2 linked regions of the Caenorhabditis elegans genome follow. The protein of the gene in region 1 purifies or fractionates together with the protein of each later gene. This does not show direct contact. Each region holds a gene or a part of one and is shown in the gene's direction. Other genes may lie near its edges.

What was found.
Region 2: the proteins of nfya-1 (region 1) and mes-3 purify together in Caenorhabditis elegans (affinity purification with western blotting, with the first as the bait; one study listed by BioGRID). This does not show direct contact.

The regions. Positions count from the first base shown.
Region 1 is NC_003284.9:11,939,752-11,948,588, reverse strand, and holds nfya-1 (Nuclear transcription factor Y subunit nfya-1), read left to right. Parts: upstream 1-1,750; 5' UTR 1,751-1,786; coding exon 1,787-1,978; intron 1,979-2,264; coding exon 2,265-2,595; intron 2,596-2,638; coding exon 2,639-2,731; intron 2,732-2,791; coding exon 2,792-2,862; intron 2,863-2,918; coding exon 2,919-3,005; intron 3,006-3,052; coding exon 3,053-3,137; intron 3,138-3,264; coding exon 3,265-3,492; intron 3,493-3,568; coding exon 3,569-3,695; intron 3,696-3,750; coding exon 3,751-3,985; 3' UTR 3,986-4,304; downstream 4,305-8,837. Other genes in the region: F55G7.3 (BLVR domain-containing protein), read left to right, coding at 6,538-6,783, 7,012-7,162, 7,208-7,299, 8,000-8,108, 8,153-8,253. UniProt on the Caenorhabditis elegans protein: Component of the sequence-specific heterotrimeric transcription factor (nfya-1-NF-Y) which specifically recognizes a 5'-CCAAT-3' box motif found in the promoters of its target genes to regulate their expression and control cellular identity in particular tissue types.
Region 2 is NC_003279.8:4,995,095-5,007,615, forward strand, and holds mes-3 (Polycomb protein mes-3), read left to right. Parts: upstream 1-1,744; 5' UTR 1,745-1,749; coding exon 1,750-1,801; intron 1,802-2,422; coding exon 2,423-2,641; intron 2,642-2,701; coding exon 2,702-2,865; intron 2,866-2,916; coding exon 2,917-3,001; intron 3,002-3,547; coding exon 3,548-3,799; intron 3,800-3,846; coding exon 3,847-3,991; intron 3,992-4,298; coding exon 4,299-4,425; intron 4,426-4,477; coding exon 4,478-4,596; intron 4,597-4,695; coding exon 4,696-4,752; intron 4,753-5,142; coding exon 5,143-5,257; intron 5,258-5,306; coding exon 5,307-5,593; intron 5,594-5,639; coding exon 5,640-5,763; intron 5,764-6,460; coding exon 6,461-6,720; intron 6,721-6,767; coding exon 6,768-6,831; intron 6,832-7,061; coding exon 7,062-7,256; 3' UTR 7,257-8,108; downstream 8,109-12,521. Other genes in the region: Decapping nuclease dom-3, read left to right, coding at 8,371-8,485, 8,535-8,640, 8,684-9,019, 9,068-9,152, 9,251-9,790; F54C1.8 (uncharacterized protein), read right to left, coding at 9,866-9,971, 10,237-10,327, 10,380-10,557, 10,603-10,651, 10,698-10,918; sst-20 (Sperm Specific Transcript), read left to right, coding at 11,740-11,944, 12,289-12,521. UniProt on the Caenorhabditis elegans protein: Component of a Polycomb group (PcG) complex. PcG proteins act by forming multiprotein complexes, which are required to maintain the transcriptionally repressive state of homeotic genes throughout development.

The DNA.
Region 1 (8,837 bases):
AAACAATTCAAAAAAAATTTATAAACCAAAGACATTGTGAGAAAACACCTAGAATATTTAAGTTACAGATGACCATTTTCGGAAAACGGCAGATGGTGTGCAGCGTGCGCGGTTGCGTCGCGGCTCTGTGCACACTAGGAAATGAGAAACAGAGTCTTGAGGACTGTACGGGACCAGTTCAAAACACTAATCTGTCGTCAAACGTTGCGCCGTCTGTGCATTCAGTCACTGAGATGTTTGCGGACTTGGTTGTTTTCCTTCTTTTTTTGCGGTTGTAAAAAACAATGGAACCAAACAAAATGAAATGCCAGGTGTATTTGATTGGAAATCTTTAATAAATTAATACAATAATTTTATTGAACAATATATCATGTATTGTCTATTTTGTTTAGAAGTTTCAGAATGAACCCCAATGCTATAAATTATGTGTTGGGATCTTCTTAAATCTGATCTTAAAAGTTGAAATAAAATTTGTGTAACGTTATTTCATTGTCAGCGACGAACTACTGTTATTTTTCTCGTAATACCTCAATACATAATTAATCAGCAATTAGGGTCTTTTCAAGCATAATGCTATCCATTTTAGGTTTGTATAGCTTCAAGTCACATGAACTTTGGCAAAGAAGTGCACAGAAAAAAATTTTGAAGTTAAGTCGGGATACGAAGGAATCAATGCTAAGTTCGGCAGCTAGTGGAAGTCTCCTGTATGTTACAGATGTCCAGAAATTGCAAGATTGCACAAATGCTCTTGTTGATTTTAACTCCAAAACCAGGAAAATGATAGCTTATCCGTTTCAATTATTTTAGCTTATTCCCTTTTTTTCTGTGGAGGAATTTGAAAAATTTTCAATCAATTTCGGTTTTTTCAGGGTTCCTCCATGAGAATATTATTTTGATGTACATGCATACATCGATTTGTACTCCCAAATGGAAATAAATTGCTTCTCTGATCTGATTGTGAAGTCAAAATGATCAAATTTGAAGCTCCTTACAATTGGCCATCAAAGAAACATTTGCATTATTGTTAGCGATGTTGTAGAAATGTGTAAAATTCCTGAAAAGCGAGTGGAAAAAATCACTTGTAATAATTAAAAACTTCTTGCTAATCGCAATGATCCATTCGGGACGTTATCATCAGACACTTCCTAAATCAATTGGTTGTTGGATGCATATTCATCGTCGTGAAGAACAACCTTGGGGTGCGTACGTGCGCGTTGCGGTCACTACATTCTCTCTTCTCCCTCTCCTCTCTGGTCAACACAAATCGATACGAACATTGAGCGTGTACGTGAAGGGGAATTTGTCGTAAAATAGTGCGCATTGGTGCATTTGGTCGTCTCGGTGATTGCAGTCGTTGCTACTAGGGTTCGATACTACGAGACATTTTTGCATACTAGTTTTGCCATTTTTTTTCTGCAGAAATAGTTTTTGAACTTTGAGAGACACTAAAAGTTTAAAATGTAAACTTTTAAGTCATGAAGTTTTTTTCCACCGTTAGAATTCACTACTTCAAAATTATAAAAACCTTTCTTACTTTCTCTCATCTTTTTTTTCGAGAAAACTTTTCAATTATTCTGATTTTCTGAGAATTTAACATTTATTGAATGAAAGTTTTATTTAGACGTTTTGATTTAACGAAAATAATGTTTTACCATAACTTTGTCAATTTTCACCGTTTTATCGGAAAACCATATAAAGCTCAAATAGCCTCAAACACGGAATGTTTCATTATTGATTAATCATTTTTCATTTTCAGGTAAATCCAATCATCAAAAAACAAGACAAAATGAATGGAGCGTCGAGGGGCGACGTGCAGCGCCCCACTCCAGTTCAAGCTCCGGCAAAGCGACCAATTCCGCCTACAGTTTTCCGATTCGAGAAGGCATCCAAAATCGGGACTTCACTGGATACTACACCCAAAGAACTTCCCATAAGACGTCCCGTTCCACTACCAGGACCGCGTTTCGTGAAAGACGTGGTAAGATTAGTTTTTTTTTTCTCAACTTAAATCTGGCATAATAATTTGAAAAGTAATTTTAATTTTTCCTGCCAAATGAACTAAACTCGTCCCTTTCCGTCGATGAAAAAGTATCAAGAAATGTTGAAATGTTGACAAAAAGTAGGAGATGAGTTACACAGTAAAATTAAAAATACAATGAGATGTCATTTAATGGAGAAACAAATGTTGCTAAAACTCTGATGGTATTTATGAATCTTTTTTCGATGTAATCTCAAAGATAAAACTAACCCTATCTTGATTTCAGAACCCCTCACCTCCAGCTACTTCTTCGCCGAACGTTCAAACACAATGCCACCAACCTCCAGTTGTAAGATCTCAAACTCATCAAGCATCAGTTTCACAAACAACGCCTACTCAAACTACACCCTCTCAATATACTCCAGCTAGCGTTTCTACAGCTCGAGCCCCACAATTCCATAGATCGTCCCATGTTACACCTTCACAACAACAACGAATTGAACAAGCATTTGGCCCAGCTCCGGTTTCTCAATCACAACCACAGAACGGCAGTTATATCCAATATAATGAACCAAGCACATCGGTGGCATCTACGACTACCTCATTTTACAGTCCAAGTGAGTGAAGCTAAGTATATAATTTCAAAATTTTTATTTACAGACGAGTCTGAGCCCGTATTCACGCATGCAATATCTTTTAAACCCAATGAACCCGAGAATGGACAGAAAGCAAGGGAGCAACTAGAGTTGTTAGGTATGGTAAATTTTTGATATGTGTGTAAAGTCTACACTGTAAACATACTTATCTATTCAGATTCTGGAAAAATCAATGAGATTAATCAGTCAAAAGTTCCGACGACAATAGAACTGCCGCCAAACTGCAAGGTTAGGGAGTTTTACATTTGTATGTAGATCTAAAGTCAATTTAAATCTGTTTTCAGCTGTTTCAATATTCATGGGTGCTCGACGGAATACCTAGGACGCTTTTGGTTCCAATGCCAATGGATGCAACGGAAGAAGATGTGAAGGTTGATTATAAATTGTGAAAATATCTCCTACAAACATAGAGTTTCAGGCAATGCTTCCAAAAACGTTGGAAATGGATTCAAATCTTTTTAACAATGCTCGGCCCAGGGATGAACTACCAGTACTATCTTTCCGTAAGTCAGATATTTTTTTTCTTTTCACGGGATAATTTAAATTTACACCCAGAAAAATATATTCCGCAAAACTGCATCGGCAATAAAATTATTTTAAACGGTTCCAATGAATAATACCTTTTTTCAGCAAACGGAACAGTACCCAATGTAGAAATGATTGGTCCAAAAGTGCAACAACCCATGCTGGTCAATCCGAAGCAGTTCAACAGAATTATGCGAAGACGTGAGATGAGGCAACAGCTTGAAGCCAGTGGACGGCTCCCACTTGCTCGCCAGAAGTATCTCCACGAAAGTCGTCATCTTCATGCACTAAAACGCAAGAGAGGGCTTGATGGGCGTTTTGACAATACGAAAAGTAAGCAGATTTTCAAAAAATTGTATTAGTGGAAAGATGTTTTGAACTTGAATGTTTAATTGTTTTTACTTTCCAGCAGCCGAATCGTCATCAATGGTCAGCAGTACAACGTCTCCCAGAAAATTGAAACGCCGGAACCGCTTACCTGGTGAAGAAACTTCTGATTCGTCCTCAATAGTTCTCCCATCGCCAGTTGAAATTCAGTTAGTTTTTCTTATTTAAAATTGTTTCATTTTTCAATATGTGTGAATATTTCAGACCAAAGGGCGGGATAGTCAATTCATCGATGCCGTCGACGTCGACTGGATACATCAATAATGGCATGGATCATCAAACGGATTATATCGAGCATCAGCAACCCATGTCTACCTACGACCAATATCACGACCACGTCCAATATATCGCGCCGGATGGTAATGTGAATTACCACAACAATCATGACAATGGCGTCGATTTAACTGGAAGTGATGGACAAAGTTTCACGAATCTCTAATTTTATTAATAGCTTAATGTGTATTGCAACCGTTGCCAAACAAAATTCACCTCACCAAAATCATTCATGTTCCCTACGCTTTTTGCCACAGAAATGTACCTTCTCTTATTGACCGATCTTTTCTTCGGGATTATGCCCATTTCTCTTTCAATGTTTTCAAATTTTTTATCCTCATTATGCATTTTTTAAATCGTCATGTTGGGTTATGTCAGTCTTCAAACTATCCAATGAAAAGCTACACTTTTTTTAAAAGTATGACAGCAAAACTTCGTGTCATAATTGTCTCAAATATAAATCTGTATTGTTAAAAAGCTTCAAAATGTGCTACCACTCTAATATTGATTGTGTTCATGCAATTTGCAAACGAACATTCCCTTCATGCAAGTAAAAACATTTGAAAATTACAGTTTTAGTGTCAGCTAGCACTTTGCAGGAAACAAGCAAGGGCGGTGCCATGTGGATATAGGATTACGGCTTGATCTACAAAAATCTGACACCACATGTGATGGTAATCATGTAGTTGCTGTTCCCCAAATGCTGTTAATGAATTTATTTTTGAAATGAATAATTGTTCCGAAAATTTATTCACACAAATAATTTTTCCGAAACTTTTTCATTTCTAGGCTCAGAAATCATGATTCCTAGCAAATCTAAAAATAAAAAAAATCAGGTATTAGTTTTTCAATTTTGAAAATGTTGTGATATTTTGTGGTACGCATATTGAACAGGTTCCAATTCAATTCTGCATCCCCGTAAAATTTTTTTACTGCCACTTACTTGGAAAAAAGGGAAAAAAGAATACTAAATTTTCAATTCATCCAACAAAAAAAAAATAAAACTGAATCACAAACTGTAAAAATTTGCAATATCATGTTTGGCCATTCTCGTTGTGTTAGGTGTCATAGTCAGTCCACCAATGCGTTCACATTTGTCGAAATCACAAAGAACGACATCTCAATGTGAATCGTTGTTTTGAACACTTGTGATAAGTTCAATAAACATTTCAATAAGACATGAAAAAATAAACCACATATTATCAAAAAATATCAATCGCACAGGCCACGTGGCTTTTGTTTTTTATTTCTTTTTTATTTACGCTCTTCCCACAACTTTATTTTCAAAGATAATTTAAAAACTGAACTAAAGGTCAGACGTGGGAGGAGCGTAAATAAAAAAGAAATAAAAAACAAAAGCCACGTGGTCTGTGCGATTGTTATTTTTTGATAATAATATAATGTTACTTGAAAACTATTGTTCTAAAACAAATGTGTCTGATACAAAACTGCGAACATATTTTTTGCATAAATCAAACTTATTTAACGCTTTTATGACAATAAAAAATTGCATTGACTCACAAGACAACCCCCCAGTTGTCCCACTTCAATCCACTATAAAATTGTTTCTCTACAAATTTTACAAACATGTTTCAAGTTGTTGGCATTAGAATTTTGGGTAACACTGTTTTGGCACGCCCAAAAAAATGTTCAACCAGTTCCAACTGACAATTTTTCAACATAAAGTATGAATTGTTCAGAAACATAATAACGGCACATCTCACTATTTTTGAAAGCTCACAATGAGTTTGATTATGCATCTGAAAAAATTATATTTCGAGGTTTTTCACATACGCGTTCTAGAAAAACTTGTTTCACGTAATATATCAATTGTTAAAAACGTCATTAATAATCTTTTGATTTCACACATGACTCTCACAATAGGAGCAAAGTTAACACCCCTGACGTTTATTTTTGCAATTTTGGTAGATTTTCATTTGTTGACGTCGCAACTCATTAACTCCTCCTCACGTGTCTCCCCTATCAAGTATGAAAACATCAATTATATTTGTACACTTTTGCAATAAGTGTACCCTCTATGCGTCAAATCCACTAATGAATCTCAATTATCCATTTCGTAACTTAAATTTTTGTTCTTTTGAATTTTACACCTTGGATTTTTTTTAGCTAGTTTCCTTATTTTTGTTTTTTTTTCTCCCTATATTTCAATTTCTTATCCATTTTTTTTATTTTTCTGGCCAGCGTGGACCTTCCTTTTGCTGTGCCTGAATTGTTTCTCTATTTTCTCTATTTTGATTAATTCTTTACATTTTATGACTTGACGTTCAGAACCGATTTGCCCACAGTCTATTCGAAAGTAGTTTCTGCGAAACCACCGAAAGTCTGGTTTCGGAGTGGTTAAATTGCATTTCTGATTTTATGATTCGAGCTTATGTTGAGTATATAAACGTAAAATACCCCCAAACCGTTATTCCACCTTTAAGATCTCGGCTACCTCGGTTTTGCTATTCACCTTCGCAACTTCACACGTGTCTCCCATAGCAACTAAAAAAGCATTAATTAGCTTTCTATATATCTTCGCAACACATTCAGATGTATGTATGCGCTACATCGCCGTATTCTAACTTTTCCGTATGAACCACATGAACCACGTGGTTTATGAATCAAAACATGATTTTGCATCTGTGCCCATTCTCTTAGCTTATTTCCGTCCTGTTTTGTTGTTCCTTGATCTAAATGTTTCTTTTTCAGTTAATCATGGACCCTGAATTCTTAGACTCACAATCAGATGAATCATCCGACGACTCGTACGATCCCAGTTACAATCCAAAGCTAGGGAGCGGATTTTTATCTGTCACTAAAATTAGTGAGAAAATGAGAAAATCGCAATTAAAAGAGCGTCGACTCAGGAAGCAATCCAAAGTATCAAAATGTGCAAAGAAACTCAAGAGAAAGGTGCCAACCAGACAAATCGTTACAAATAAACCAGAAAATCTATATAAAGTGAGTTACCTTATTGGTTTTTATAATTTCTATAGACCACATAAGGAGAAAAAAATTTGCCATTGCTGCAAGTTTTATTCGTCACTTACTGAATTTTAGGGTATGACTATTTCGGTGTGATTTAGTAACAAAACTTCGCCATTAGTTAATTTCTTCTTCATACAATTTTGTAGTAGAGAGTGAATGAATTGCAAGATCTTTTTAGCTAGGTATATGGGATTCATTCAGGAACATCGTCAGGGTCCAAATACAAGAAGCAATGAGTTGTCAAATCAGGAAAGCCTTCCAATCGTGGGAACTTACAGCCAAAATATGAGCGAGACCACTGTGGAGCCCTTATTTCAAGCATCCAAGGATTTGCATATTGACGCTTCCGATGGTAAACTCAACTGTAAAAATATTTTTCACAAGATAGATTGTTCAGCAATGGACACAAACGAAGACATGTCTACTTTTGCCAGCGAAGAAATCAACGTAACTTTAGGATCAGATGAAGAGAAAAAACAAAATAGTACTGTAAGTGAATTTTTATTATGCTTTGGAGTTATACTTATTTGAAAAAGTAGCGAAATCATCAAAAAAAACTAAAAGTGGATATCTTTTTGGCCAGCACTGTATGTTTTTTTTTGAAATAAGAATTTTATTAAAAAGTTTTGGCACACTTGTTTTATGCTTATAGTTTGAAAGTTTCTGACGTTTTTGGTTTTCTTTCCTCTTTAACTGCATTGTCCATTTTAACAATCGTGACAAAGTTGTTGAACTAGTTATATTTATTATTTTTGAATATTTTTAGGAATATATGAATTCTGAAAATCAAACGCAAAGTTAGACATTTATTTTTTGCACAATACGCGTGTAGTCTTCTCACATAGAGCTATGAAAAAGTCATTAATTCAACTTGGATTATTAGATTAGTTTCTGCAAAATAAATTTCTATAATATGTTGCACTAACAAACTAGATAAAAATTGCGTTTTGAACGTTTGCTGCTCATAAATAGTTTAACAATCTGATCAATCTAATATTTGAATAAAAGACAATAACGGTTACAAAGAAAATCTGACATTCTTAGAAAAATAAACAAGTTATGTAATCCGAGACACGGCTTGTTATAGAGAGATTTTATAAGATCTGAAAATTAAAAACAGGTCTTATTCTGAAAAAAAAACACATTCATACTTGATAATACAATTTAACAACATTACAATCTTTAATAGGGACGGGGTGATACCGACAGTGGTACTTCAAATGCTAACATCATCGGAATCGATTTTGAGAAAGAAGGGCATCAAAATTCAAATAGTGCATCAGTAGCGAAACCTATCCGTAAGTCATGTTTTCATTTTTACAAAACAATTGCAAACTTTCAGATAAAGTTATATTCTCTCCGGCCATAATGCCACCTGAACACCCTACCAGTGTTGTAATACCGCAAAACAAGTACTACCGAATCATTCGAATCAGTTGTTGATAACGTGTCAAAATGTCAAGTTGGTCAGAGACAATTTAAGTTTTTATTCAAGATCAAGACATCAGACGCTTCACGGCCTTTCCACGTGCAAGTTGTCAAAAATACTAAAAACTCAAACGGCCATAACATTTCATCCTCGAATACACACAACATTGAAGCAACTCCGAAAATTGAATTATCATCATGCGCTCAATCAAAAATCATCAAGAGCCAATCTAGTATCTCCCAAGATGGTTTCAATTGCTCTTGCAACCCCTCAAACGCCATGCTTAACCAGTCTTGTACATCCTGCATTCAACAAGACAAAATCGCAGAAATGAGCACTCAAAAATTTCAACCAAAAAATATTGCTGGTTGTGAATTGGATATCCAACCACTTGTTTCGGCAGAAGCATCACATAGAAGCCTGTTTATTTTTGAAAACTCTACGGCTGAAGAAACTACACATAGTTTCAATGAACGTCATAATCTGCTTTGTTCGAAGGAAAGAGGCAATGAAAAAATGAATAATGATTCAAGTCTGCAAACTAGTAACATTACTCGTGGAAAAATTGAGAAGACAAGTTTCGGTACAAGTAATGGTC
Region 2 (12,521 bases), on another chromosome or scaffold:
GTACTCCTCTCGGACAATTAATAAATTGTTTAATTTTGGATGTTTGTAGAGGTTTTTCGTGTTTTCTCATGATTTTACGGGAATCCTTTTGATTTTTTTGGTTAAAAACAAATTATTGGTGGTCTATGAATGCATTTTTCACTGTAAAATAGTGGAAACCGCCGTTATCCTCTTGAGAAAGTTCTAAAGTTCCATAAATTGTTCAGTTTCGCGGTTTTTCATTGAATAATTTGTAATTATTGTTTTTCGAACGTACAATTATCAAAAGAAAATCACGAAAAATCGCCAAATATTCCAAAATTCGATCGAATGGAGGTTTATTCTTCATTCCCTTCAAAATAGATTTATAATAATCTCTTGTTCGAACACTCCCTCTTCCCGCAGCGAAAGTGTAATAAAATGTCCAATAATCTAGCTAGATCTAGTTCAATAACTCATCAATTATATTGCCCTTTGATGTAGTTTTATAATGTCATAAAGTGCACACTTCTAAGAGTGGGCAGCTAAAAAATGCACTTGTTGCTCTTTTTTTCGCACCCTTCATACTTTTTTGGATCGATTTCTTTCATTTGATATTCATAATGACCTAATGTTTCCGCTGTACACTGTATCTGCACTCACGTGATGGGTCTCGCCACGGTAATAATATTACAAAATGATTTTGCCTATGCGTCTTTGAGTTTACTGTAGAAAATTAGTAATACATTTTTCAGCTCTACTTCTTTCTTCGCAGATTATTTTTCTGTGAGAACAAGAATACACAATTTATCCATTTCCATTCAATGAAAATGTATGACAGCGTGATTTCGATAAATCAACAATTGAATCCTTTTTCTTTAAACTTATAACTTCAATTGACATATTTTTAATTTCATTGTAAAACTTGGAATATAATTTCGTTGGTTTCAGTCTCTCATCCGTTCCAAATTATAATTCCAAACTCTCGAACGCGGAGACATGCGCACGCTCCTCTTCCTTTCCCTCGAGTAGGCGTCGCTCCTTCTCTTTTATTGATTTGTCGTGCTCTCCGCTCTTGTTTGAACGCGACCAATATGACTCATTTTTTTAATATTTAAAGTTTTTAAGCACATGCATAGTGCATTGCTCGCTTTCTACCTCTACGCGTTGTTCATGGCTCTAAAAACAAAGAGCGTACATTTTTTGAAATTCTATTTAAATAAATAAAATTATTATTGAGAATTCATCCGAAATATCTGTGAAATATCAAGCCAAACATATTTTTTATAATCCTAAAGTTAATAAAATTAAAATAAAGTATAGTCATTTTGTAAATTTGCTCAAAATGACAGAAAATGGACCGTAATAACCAAATATAGATGTTAAACATGCATAGAACTTTTCTAAATTTTTTTTTTAATTTTGCAAAAAGGTTCTTACGGTACATTTTTAATCAACCATTAAGTTTTACAAATCTTCATAGGTATAATTTTTTAATGAACAAATTGTTTGACTGGCAATAACCACGCATTCCTTCATTCGATTCCTTATCGAACCAGCCGTCTGTCTGAATATGATGTGAATTTCTTTTTTATTCTGCGTCTCCTCAATTGACATACTCTCTACTCAGTTTCCCAGAACGAAGTCTCTCTCATCTGACATTATATCTTTTTTGCGCTGTTCGTTTCACATTTTTCTTTCTCTCTCTCTCTCTGATTGGCGATTTCGAGATAAATCGATAATCTCGATCTTTGCTAAACTATTTTAAAACACAAAAAATCATTGCAGGGTATGACTCCGGCGACGGCAGAGGTGAAAGTTGGAGGGAGAAAACGGAAGAATGGTTAGTTGGAGAATAGGACATTTACTGGAATTTACAAAAATCAAATTCTTAAAATCAATTTTTAATTAATTTTGAAACATAAATCCCAATCGCGCCGAGACCCGCGTATTCTAACACAACGCTCACCTTTAAAAATAGTTAATTTTTTATTCGAGAAACTCGGCCTGAAACTTTTTATTTAACTTCTTGTTTAAATTGTAATTTAAACTATTATAATTAAAGTTTTTCCTGTTTTCTTAATTTTTCCACCAGTGAAAATTATTTTCGGCAATTCTACAAAATTACCTATTGTGCCATTTTGTTCCATCATATTTTATTACAAAACAGTGTCAAAAAATAGAAAATTACTTGAATTATCTAAAAATAACATTTATTTAAGCTGAAAAAATTTGAAAAATTGTTCAAAAATGGCTTGAAATTCGATGTTTCGTTTAATCAGCAATTGGCAACTCTCAGGCCATTTTTGAACACTTTCCCAAAATTTTATGCTAAAATAAATGAAATAAATGTTATTTTCAGATCAATAAAGTAATTGTCTATAGTTTGAAATTAATTTTTTTTCTGTCAAATTATAGTAATTTTTAGCATTTTTGAATTAATACTTTAAGCTTATTTTTGCAGATGAGCCGGTTTTTATCAAGACAAAACAATCGAGGTCAGCTCGTCGAGAAGAAGAAAAAGAAAATCTTTTGAACAAATCTCTTCCGTCAACTCCAACTTCATCAGAGGCCGGAAGTTCTCGGGAATCTTCAAATCCAGTCACAAGCTCCAGTAGACGAAAGAATCCACCTACCAAATTAGAAAATATTCAAAAAACGTTGCCGACTTGCAGTGACGGACGTTAGTTTTAAAAATCATTAATTAAAATCTCAATTTTTCTATTAATTCACATTTTTTCAGTTGAAATTCGCAATTATGTGAAAAAATATGGATTGCCGGAAGATAACAAGTTTCTCGTTCGTAATGTCTTCGACAAACAATTATTATTTGGAAAGAAATATGTGTGTAGAAGGCGTGTGATTAAAAGCATCGATGAATTTTTCCCGCGACTAAAGACCGATGCGGTTTGTTTGAATTTTTGATGGATTCATTTGCAAAATAAATTTTTCTTTCAGCACAGAGAAAATGGTTTATATAATTTCTGTACTCTACAATTCATGAAAATATCCTCCTGGGGAAGTTCGATGGATGAGAAGATTTGTTAGTTTATTTTTGAAAATTTTGAAAAATTTGAAACGAAATCTCGATAAAAACACTTAATTCGAAAAAGACCAACAGAAAATCACTTTGAACTAAAAATATCTATTCAATATTGATTGAAACCATATTTCACAAGAAATAAAAGTCTTTTTGAAATTTGGTTTTAAAAAAAATTATTTTTTTAATTAAAAAAGTCAAAAAAAATTGAAAAGTTCTGATTTGCATTATAAAACAAAAAATGAATTAAACTCAATAAATATATAGCCAGAAAACGCGAAAATGTCGGAATTCGCTTTTTTTTTCAGTTTTTGCAATTTCCTAAAATCACACAAAATTTATAAAAATTATTTTTTTCCTATAGTTTAAAGCAAATTTAATGATTTTGAAATGTTTGAGGTTTTTTTTCAAAAAGTAAGAACAATATTTCCAAAAAAATGAAATTATTTTCTAATTGTAAATTAAGATTCAAAAATACACACACACATAGTTTTTTTCGGTTTTAAAATTATTTTCTCATTAATTCATTAAAAAAAAGAACATTTTCAGATGTTACTTCTGCTGCAATTGTTCAAAGCTACGTGATAATTGTCGACGATAATGATTCAGTCACCTGCATTGAAAATGGAATCTCAGTTATTCCAATGGCGAATAGAACGTTACCATCTATCTCCTATAACAGTTCAAATGTAAAAAATATCACTTTGACGGGCCCTGAACTGAAAAAGGCAAAAAACGTATATCTCGCAGTGATTGTGAAACGAAAAACACCAAAACTTGGAGAAAATCGAGTTGGGACAAGTGAGTGAAATCATTTCTTTTTTTTAAATAAAAAGTTTCTTTTGTAGGAGGAAAATCAACTCGAGCATCATTCGAAACGGCTGCTTCCTCAGAAAACTTTCAGCAACTTGTTCGTTTTGGGTGCACTTTGATGTATGATAAGGATGCTGAAATTAACTGCCTAAATGACGGAGTTCAACGTATTATCTTACTGTAAGTCGCTTTAAAATTATAAATGCAAAAATTTAAAAACTTAAAAATTCAAAAAAAATTAAAATACTTTAAAAGTTTTTTTTTCCAAAATTTATCCGAAGGTGAATCTATAAAATTAAACTGGCCTGCTAATTTTTTAAAAAGGGGGTTTTCTGAAGATTTTGAGCGAAAACTGTTGTCAAAATAAATAAAAAACTGAAAAACATTTTTTTTCGAGAAACACGCGCTCAAATTGACGGGTATACGGTAGAAAATATTTTTTCAAAAAAAATTGTATAATGAAAAATATTGCTCTTGATTTTTCCAGTGATCGAGAAGAAAAGCCAGCGTATTTGAAAATTTTCGGGAAGGCCGATGAACCGGAACTCGAGAATGCTTGGATGAATAATGTTAAGCATTTGGAGTTTATAAGCGATACAAATTATAACAAAGAGGTAACGATGAAGAGTTAATAAACTTTTATAAATAATTGATTTTTTTCTACAGGATTCTCATCTCGCTCGTCTAATCTTCTCTTCAAATACTCATAATTATTTCGATAGACCGGACATTTCAAAATTCTCTCCATGGCAGCCGCGATCCAGAAGGACGACACTAAAATCTGGGTGAGAAATTCGATTTTTTCTCTTTTTTTAATTTTGTTTTTATCTGGTTTTTGCACGACCGTAATCCCGCACGCTTATTGTGTTTTCCATCATTTTCAGAATCTCCGTCGAGCCAGGAACGAGTTGCGATGAGGATTGTGGATCGCAATATGAAGAGTTCGTTTTTGATCCCTACCACCTGATTTTTTGTTTGAATATCTAATTTTTAAATCACTAAGTTTGCTGGATTTTTTCCCTTACAGAATTTCTAATTTCGGGTGCATTTCTTCTTTTTTCTTAGTTGGCTGTAATTGATACCTTCCAAATAGCTTGTCGTGATTTTTGAAAACCGTGAAGCTGCATTTCAGAATTTTTGAGTTAAAACTGGGGGGTTTTGTCCAAAATTACAGAAGGCAATCTGCATACACCGGATAGAACTTCAAAAAAAATCATCTAAATTTTATAGTTAATCACTCACTACATTGGATATTCGCGGAACTTCATGTTTCTATCCAACCATAGATCATCTAACTGTTCTTCAAAATTGTTTAGAAAATATAATTACAGTACAATCACTCTCAAGCAGTTACTCCTTGGAACGAAAAAGCTATGCGGAAGACGTAAGAGACATTTGACCCGACTCACTTCAAGATGGCCGTGTTTTTCAGTCGATCCGACGAAGGTAATTCTTAAAAAACTATAATTTCAAAGCTTAAGTGCAATTATTTCAGATCAATTCATATTTCAATGAAACTGGTGTCACTTTGCTGGAAAATTCGTGTTCCTACCGTCCTGGAACTCAACGAAGCATTCCAATAAAACCTACCCGAGTGATCAGAGTTAGAGAAGAAACTCCAGTTTCCGTTCCAATTGAGGTTATTACGATTGAAGATGATTCAGATGATTCACCATGTTTTTCTGCGAGAAATCGAGCACCAGGTGGAACACGGAAATATGGATTAGATTTTATACAATCTTCGGGTCATATGCCATATATTCGTTATGTTTATATGAACAGGTAATTTGATTTAATGCAATCCAGTAAAAAAATATATGATTTGCAGAGCAAATGACTTAGTGCCCCAGCTGAATGGCGAAGAAAATGGAAAAATCGAAGGTCTTATGGAAGCATATCCGATGAATAATGCTCACATGTATTCAGATATTGAGTTCCTGAGAAAAGAAAAAGTAAGAATTGTTTTTAAAAAAAAGACATAAAAGTTGTAATAATTTTCGCTTTTTTCACTAAAATCGAAAATGGAATTTTTTGTTTCGATTTACTGATTTTTGCAAAAATAAAACAAAACTTTAAGATTTTTCTTTTTTCCGATATTTCGAAAAAATTGCATAATTTGTTTTCTTTTTAGAAGCAATTTGTATGTATTTCTGAAAAAGCGAACAAAATTGTTTCCTGAAGGCGAAATCTATTTTTCCCTCAAAAACCCAAAAAAAAAAAAAAAAGTGAGAAAGGAAAAATTGAGAACCTTTCATTATATTTTTTGAATTTTTTGAATTGACTCCAAAAACAGGAAAAAAAAAACAAAAAATCCCAGCCTTGATTACGATATTAAAAATTTTCTATTGTGACATGTTGCTCCAACAATTTGTATTTAAAATTAATGTCAAAATATAGAAAAACACTCGAATTATCTGGAAATAACATTTATTCTGGCTGAAAATTTTGAAAAAGTACTCAAAAAATGTCCTGGAAGTTGCTGATTGCCAATTATCGAATTATTGAATTTCAGGTAATTTTGAACACTTTCTCGAATGTTTTAGTTGAAAAAAAGTTATTTTCAGATAATTCTAGTGATTCCTGCACTGAACACTAAAAAAAACTTGTCGCCGCAAACAAAAAAAATTAAAGCAAAATTACAAATTTCAGTTGAATCTTCCGAAGAATGCTCAAAAATATGGCGAAATGACAATTCTTGACTATCCACTAACGAAGACGGAAACGGACGAATATAATAAAAAGATGTCTGTGATGAATGTCAAAGATTTTGCGGTTAAACCCAGAAAACCTATTCCAACAGTCGGAAATACCACTTTAAGTTTGGATTTGGAAGGATGTCCTATATCGACATTTTCAGAAATATTCTTCCCAAGTGGAAAAACTGAACTATTCAATATTCTATGCAGACAGTAAGTGTTATAATATTAAGTCATATATTAAAACCCAATTTTTGAAGTTTCTACTCTGAAGCTGGACAACGCCCTGGATGCTTCTCAGCACAATGGAAATCTAGAGTTTTGGTGAGTTTATTGAACATTCAGGACTAGATTGGCAAACGTACGGAATTGCTTAGTACAGTATTTTTGAATCAAAACCTTTAAACTTCTTTTCAACGAAAATGAAAATTATTTTCAGAGTCTTTGATTCTACAAAAAATGAATTAGCGTACTAAAATAAGCATCTCAACACTTTTGCCAAGATTTGCCTTAACTTAGAACGCATTTTTGAATTTTTCATAAATAATTTTCAGACTGGCTTCATCAACAAATACCATCAGTACATTTTCGACATGAAATTGAATTCTTTATTCGAGAAACAAATAAATCTCATCGCTATGGTCAGCCCTGACTGGAAATTAGAAGATTTTGAATTGCCCATGGTTCGATATAAGCAATTGAAAAAAGAATGGAAAAATCGCCAACGAGATATACCATCTTCTAATTAGATTATCCCCTTTTTTCCTTGTATCTTTTTCTTTTTGGAAATCCTGTGTTTAATCTCTTTTCCATTTATCAATCAACTATACCAAATCGTGGTGGGTGGCAATTCTACTAAATGACATTAAAAATTAGTCTGAAAACATAGAAAATAATTTGATTCTTCTGCAAATAACATTTGTTTCAGTTGAAACACTTGAAAAAATGATTAAAAATTACCTGGAAGTTGGAAATTGTCGAATTTTGCTATTCGGCAATTGGAAACTTTCAGACTATTTTTGTGCAATTTTCAAATCTTTCAGCTGAAATAAATGTTATTTTCATATTTTTAAATAAATTAATTTTCTATTTTGAGACTAATTTTTAATGAACAATATTGGCCAATTTATGGAATTGCCAAAAGTAATTTCCACCCACCGCTGATCCCAAAAATACTACAATTTTTAGCACCTTTTGACCCAAAGAACGTCGTACTTCAATGATCTTCCAGATTACACGAGTCATCACTAAGTTTTTCTTCATTTCTTTTTCTTTCATTTAAGTTTTTTTCTATCCATTTTATAAGTTCTTTCCTTGATTGTTCTCTGCTCTACAACTCTTCTTTCTACTCACACTCCATGGATGTTGTGAAGCTTCTGTTATTTTGGAAATTTTATAATTTTACACAACTATTTGTACTATCCACTTTCAAGTTTTAATATTATCATTTTATCTCTCTGTTTTTTTAATCAATATTTTGACAAAAAATTTCATTTGCCAAAATTTTTTGTAACAATCAACTATATCATTAATGCCACACCTATAAAATGCTTAAACATATGTCCGGATTTATTGGGAAGTTAAGAAATAATTGTCGTATGGTCAGAAGTTTAAAATATACCTCAAGCTTTAAAAAATCGGTTATAACTCCAATCAAGGATGCCATGGAAAATTTTTGGCACTCGTCGTATTTCCGAATTTTCGACAATTCGACAAAAAAAAGGCATTTTTTGAAAATCTTAAACTCAAAATCTCCAACTTTTCCAAACTACAGTAATCCTACAGTAACCCTACATTGTGGTCTACCGCTGCTCCAAATTGTCAAAAACATTAAAATTCAATCATTTAGAAAACACTAAAAAAATGTCGCACTATGGCGGAAATCCACGTGGAAACTCATCACACCAGTTTGGACGAAAAGATTTCCAACAATCAGATTCTAAACACATTCCGAAGATAACTGGTCAGCCGCTACCTAGTGAGTTTGTAAACTCTTGAAAACTTTTAAAAAATGAATAATGTTTCAGATGAAGTACAAATTCCGTTTGACAATATGATTTACGAGACAAGAAATCCACCGAAATTCGAGAAACAAGCAAAGTTCATCTCAGAGTACTGTATCAATTATGACAGGTTTCCGATATTATAGAGATTTTGAAAACTTGATAATTTTCAGGAAGCTTCAACTTGGAAGAATGCGAGCCAAAAAGTTCCATGATAAACTTCCTCCAAACAATTTGTCGCTGGATCTAGGAAAAGGTTTTGAAACTTTTGATCCAAAAGAAGGAGATGAAAAGATTATAATGCTTCTTGAATGGATTAATCAAATGGCTCCAGAAGGTGGAAGACTTAAGAAAGTTATTCACGAGGCTGATGTAGTATGCTGGAGAGGATTGATTACAAAGATATGTTCAACAATTTACAATAAAGAAGAAGGATGGAGAATAGACGCGATTAAACGAAAAGGCGTCATTTTTCTGTGTGAAGAGAAGACAGAGCAGGCCAAAAATAGGTAAGAATTTGTGTTTTCTTTGAATATTCAATAGTAACATTATTTAAGAGATCTCAATCAAACCGACTTGGACAAAAGAATGAGCTACTGGGGACACAAGTTCGAGCAATATGTTACGCTCGACGATGATGCGGTACGTATTATTGGGACGCAGAAAAATGTATATGCGTCTTCATAATAAATCAAGAAGAAATCCAACTTCAAATAATTTTTAATCCATTTAACTTCCAGGAACAACCAGACACTTCAAGTCCAGTGACAACGAAAGAAGAGTATGCAGTTGTATTTCGGAATGATCTTCAAACTGATCAACGTCTTAATCCTGAAAAAAGGTCAATTGGGATATTCTATTCGGGAGAAGTTGATTGTCTGGATAGACACGGAAATATGCTCGAGCTAAAAACTCAGAAAGGCGAGCTCGGTCATGGATTCTACAAATACTCAAAATCCTTCAAATGGTGGCTTCAATCATCATTGGTCAACGTCGATCACATCATCGTCGGACTTCGAACACAGGAAGGCCACGTCAAATCGTTGACGTCACTGCGTACCCGAGAGATCCCACAGCGAGCCTCATGGAATTTCAGAGCCGGCTTCGAGTTTCTCTCCACAATTTTCACTTATATTCTTAACTGCCTTGAGAAGGACGGAGATGCGTGTGTTATAGAATATCGCAGTGAGATGGGTATTCATAAAGGAATTCAAATGAGAAGAGTACCGGTAGATGAATTCGATTTTGTGCCGAATGAGTTCCTCGAAAAGTTTTGTTGATAAATATTTTTATTGTTGTATAATTCTATTTATATGAACTGTTTTTGAGAAATTCTTTATTCAGACACCAGACTTTCAATAATCCATCACAGCGATTTCGGTCGATCCCATTTTTTTCTCAGGTGTACACGAGCGATCTCTTTTCTTTCTTCTTTCAGTCTCCAGAGTTAATTGACTTTTACTGGAAATTCAAATTTAATTATATTTATTTAATTATAATTATTACTTTATAAAGTTGATTCTCCCAGACGCGAAATTGTACAATTTTTACTTTAAAAATACGGTACCTGGTCTCGACACGACAATCTAATTTAATTTAAAACGGGCGCCTTTAAAGACGCACGCCCTTTTCCTCTTAACATAAATTTGTTGCTGCGAGACCGGGTCTTGTAGTTTTGTGATAAAAATCGAAACATTTCGCATCTGAGTATTAGATTATTTCTTACCAAGATCTCATCAAAAACACATAGAAACAAAAGATGCCGAGAACAATTTTCCAAAGAGTCACTACAAGAGCGACAATGAACAGATAAAATACTGAAAAAAAAGGTTTTTTCTTGTTAAAGTCTAAAAATGATTCTCTTCTCACCACAATTCTCATATTTCTTATCGATGCCAAGTGAAGGCAAACGTTGAAGCAAATAGATTGTGTCCATGAAAGTCAACGACTCGAGCCCAATGGTTATTCCTGAGAAAACCGTCAGTACAATGTAGATGATTCGGACCGATTTGAAAATTAGAACAAATGCGAGCAAACCAGCAAAGATCTGAAAAAATTGGATTTTAGTTTTTGGAATCAGGGCGGAGCTGACATCAACAGCTGCGAAACATCTTCTCGTTATGATTGCGACTTCCCGGGTTCTGAAAAATGTTCAAACTTTCAAAAAGTTTCAAAAATCCAACTCACTCGAAATTAGAAGTGGCAGCATAAAATTGAGCAATTCCGAAGAGAATGCAAAAGACGCAATACAGGCCTTCAGGCCACAGTCCGAATCGATCCCTCTTCTGGTTCGGACCAATATTGTGCTCATCGACAATCTCGAGAACAGACACATTTGAATTTTCATGCTTCGTTTCCTTATTTGAACTTGAATTTGAATCCTTCTTCATCGATTTCTTAGAATTCATTTTTTCGTCTTTTTAACGACGAAAATGAGGGAATGAATACATCTCAATTTTTAATTATTTTCAATTGAAATTTTACTTTAAAAAAAACGTGGAACGGGTTATTCGATTTGAAAATTTATTTTTCTTTAAAATTTATCCACGATTTTCTGTTTTAGAATCCAGTTGTCGTAATTCTAAATAATTTGAAATAAAGCTGAAATCACTTCCCACAGTAGGTAGGCATGTGAGCTAATTGTAGGTACTAGGCATGCCCTTTGCAAAGACAGGCATGCAGACACTTTGTCATCAGGCAGGCACGTAGGCAGCCAAGGAATTATGATGTGAGCAGATCCACGTTAGCTTGAAAATGTGTCTGCCTACCAAAAACAGACGCTCAACAATTCTAGGAAAAACAATTCTTGCATTTCTTCCTTGAAAAATATGACAAATTAAACGCCGCCTGGTCTCGATTCGGAAGATCCGGGTTTCTGGTCACAGATGGTTTCAGGTTTCAGTGGAGACATACAGGCATAAATTAGGCACGCAGGTGGCCAGGTAGGCCTGCCTGCCTATCTACACGTAGATTATTTCATACTGACCAGTTTCCTATCAAATTCATAGTTTGTATTTCTTGAACGTGAACTTTTTCCCTCCCCCCCCCCGCAATTTCAATTGTCCACGTATTCCAAATTGCAAGTCCAGAAAGAAAAAAATGTTTATCATCAATACCGCCCGAATCATTCCGTCCTTCATCGACAACTTCCATCTCTATCATAGCATTTTGAGTAAGTTATTTCTCCATCATTAACACTTCTCAACAAAATCATCATCAGGAAAAGAACATGTCACTCACAAAAGATGGTTCCGTAGCTGTGACCATTCTCCAAGCAATCATCTTCATTCAATTCGGCTTGTGCGTTGCGATCACAATTCTGACAACCGTCGGAATCTCATTTGGGTATCCGGTGGCTTCTCATTACCTTATGGCTCTTCTTCAGGCATTGGTGGCAATTCCGGGAATTGTGTACATTGTGACACAGACAAACAGTTAGTTTTGCTTCTATTGAGTTGTCAACTGCATGGAAGGCACCTCCACGTGGAGATCGGAAAATTATGATTTTTCTGTAAAATACTCAGAATATGCCAGAATTTCTTCCAAATTGACAAATGCGAGACCAATCAGTAGAAGTGTACAAAGTTCGATGTCGTTGATTGGCTCGAAAGAGGGTGTGGCATCTCATTTAGGAGGAAATTCAATTTTTAGACATTTTCATTGCGTGATATTTCAACATATTGAAATGTTCTGTCTATTTTAAAGAAAAATATTCATTTTTGGAACTAACAGAAATGTCTTCGGCAACTTTTGCAAAAAATCGCTTGTAATATTTCAGTCTGGGTGGCAGTCTACATCAGCTTCCAAGTGGTAACCGCCGCGTGTGAAGTCTACTGGCTCGTCTACTTGATCTTCGACAATCAACCCGCTGGATCTTGGATCGCACTTGCAATTATCACAGCCGTCAACATTTTGGCAGCTGTTGTCGGTGTGTGGTTCCGCAAAACTGCTTTGAACCTTCCATGCCTTGATAAGAAAACGAAAAAGGCTGGTGATGCGAAGAAGGAGAAG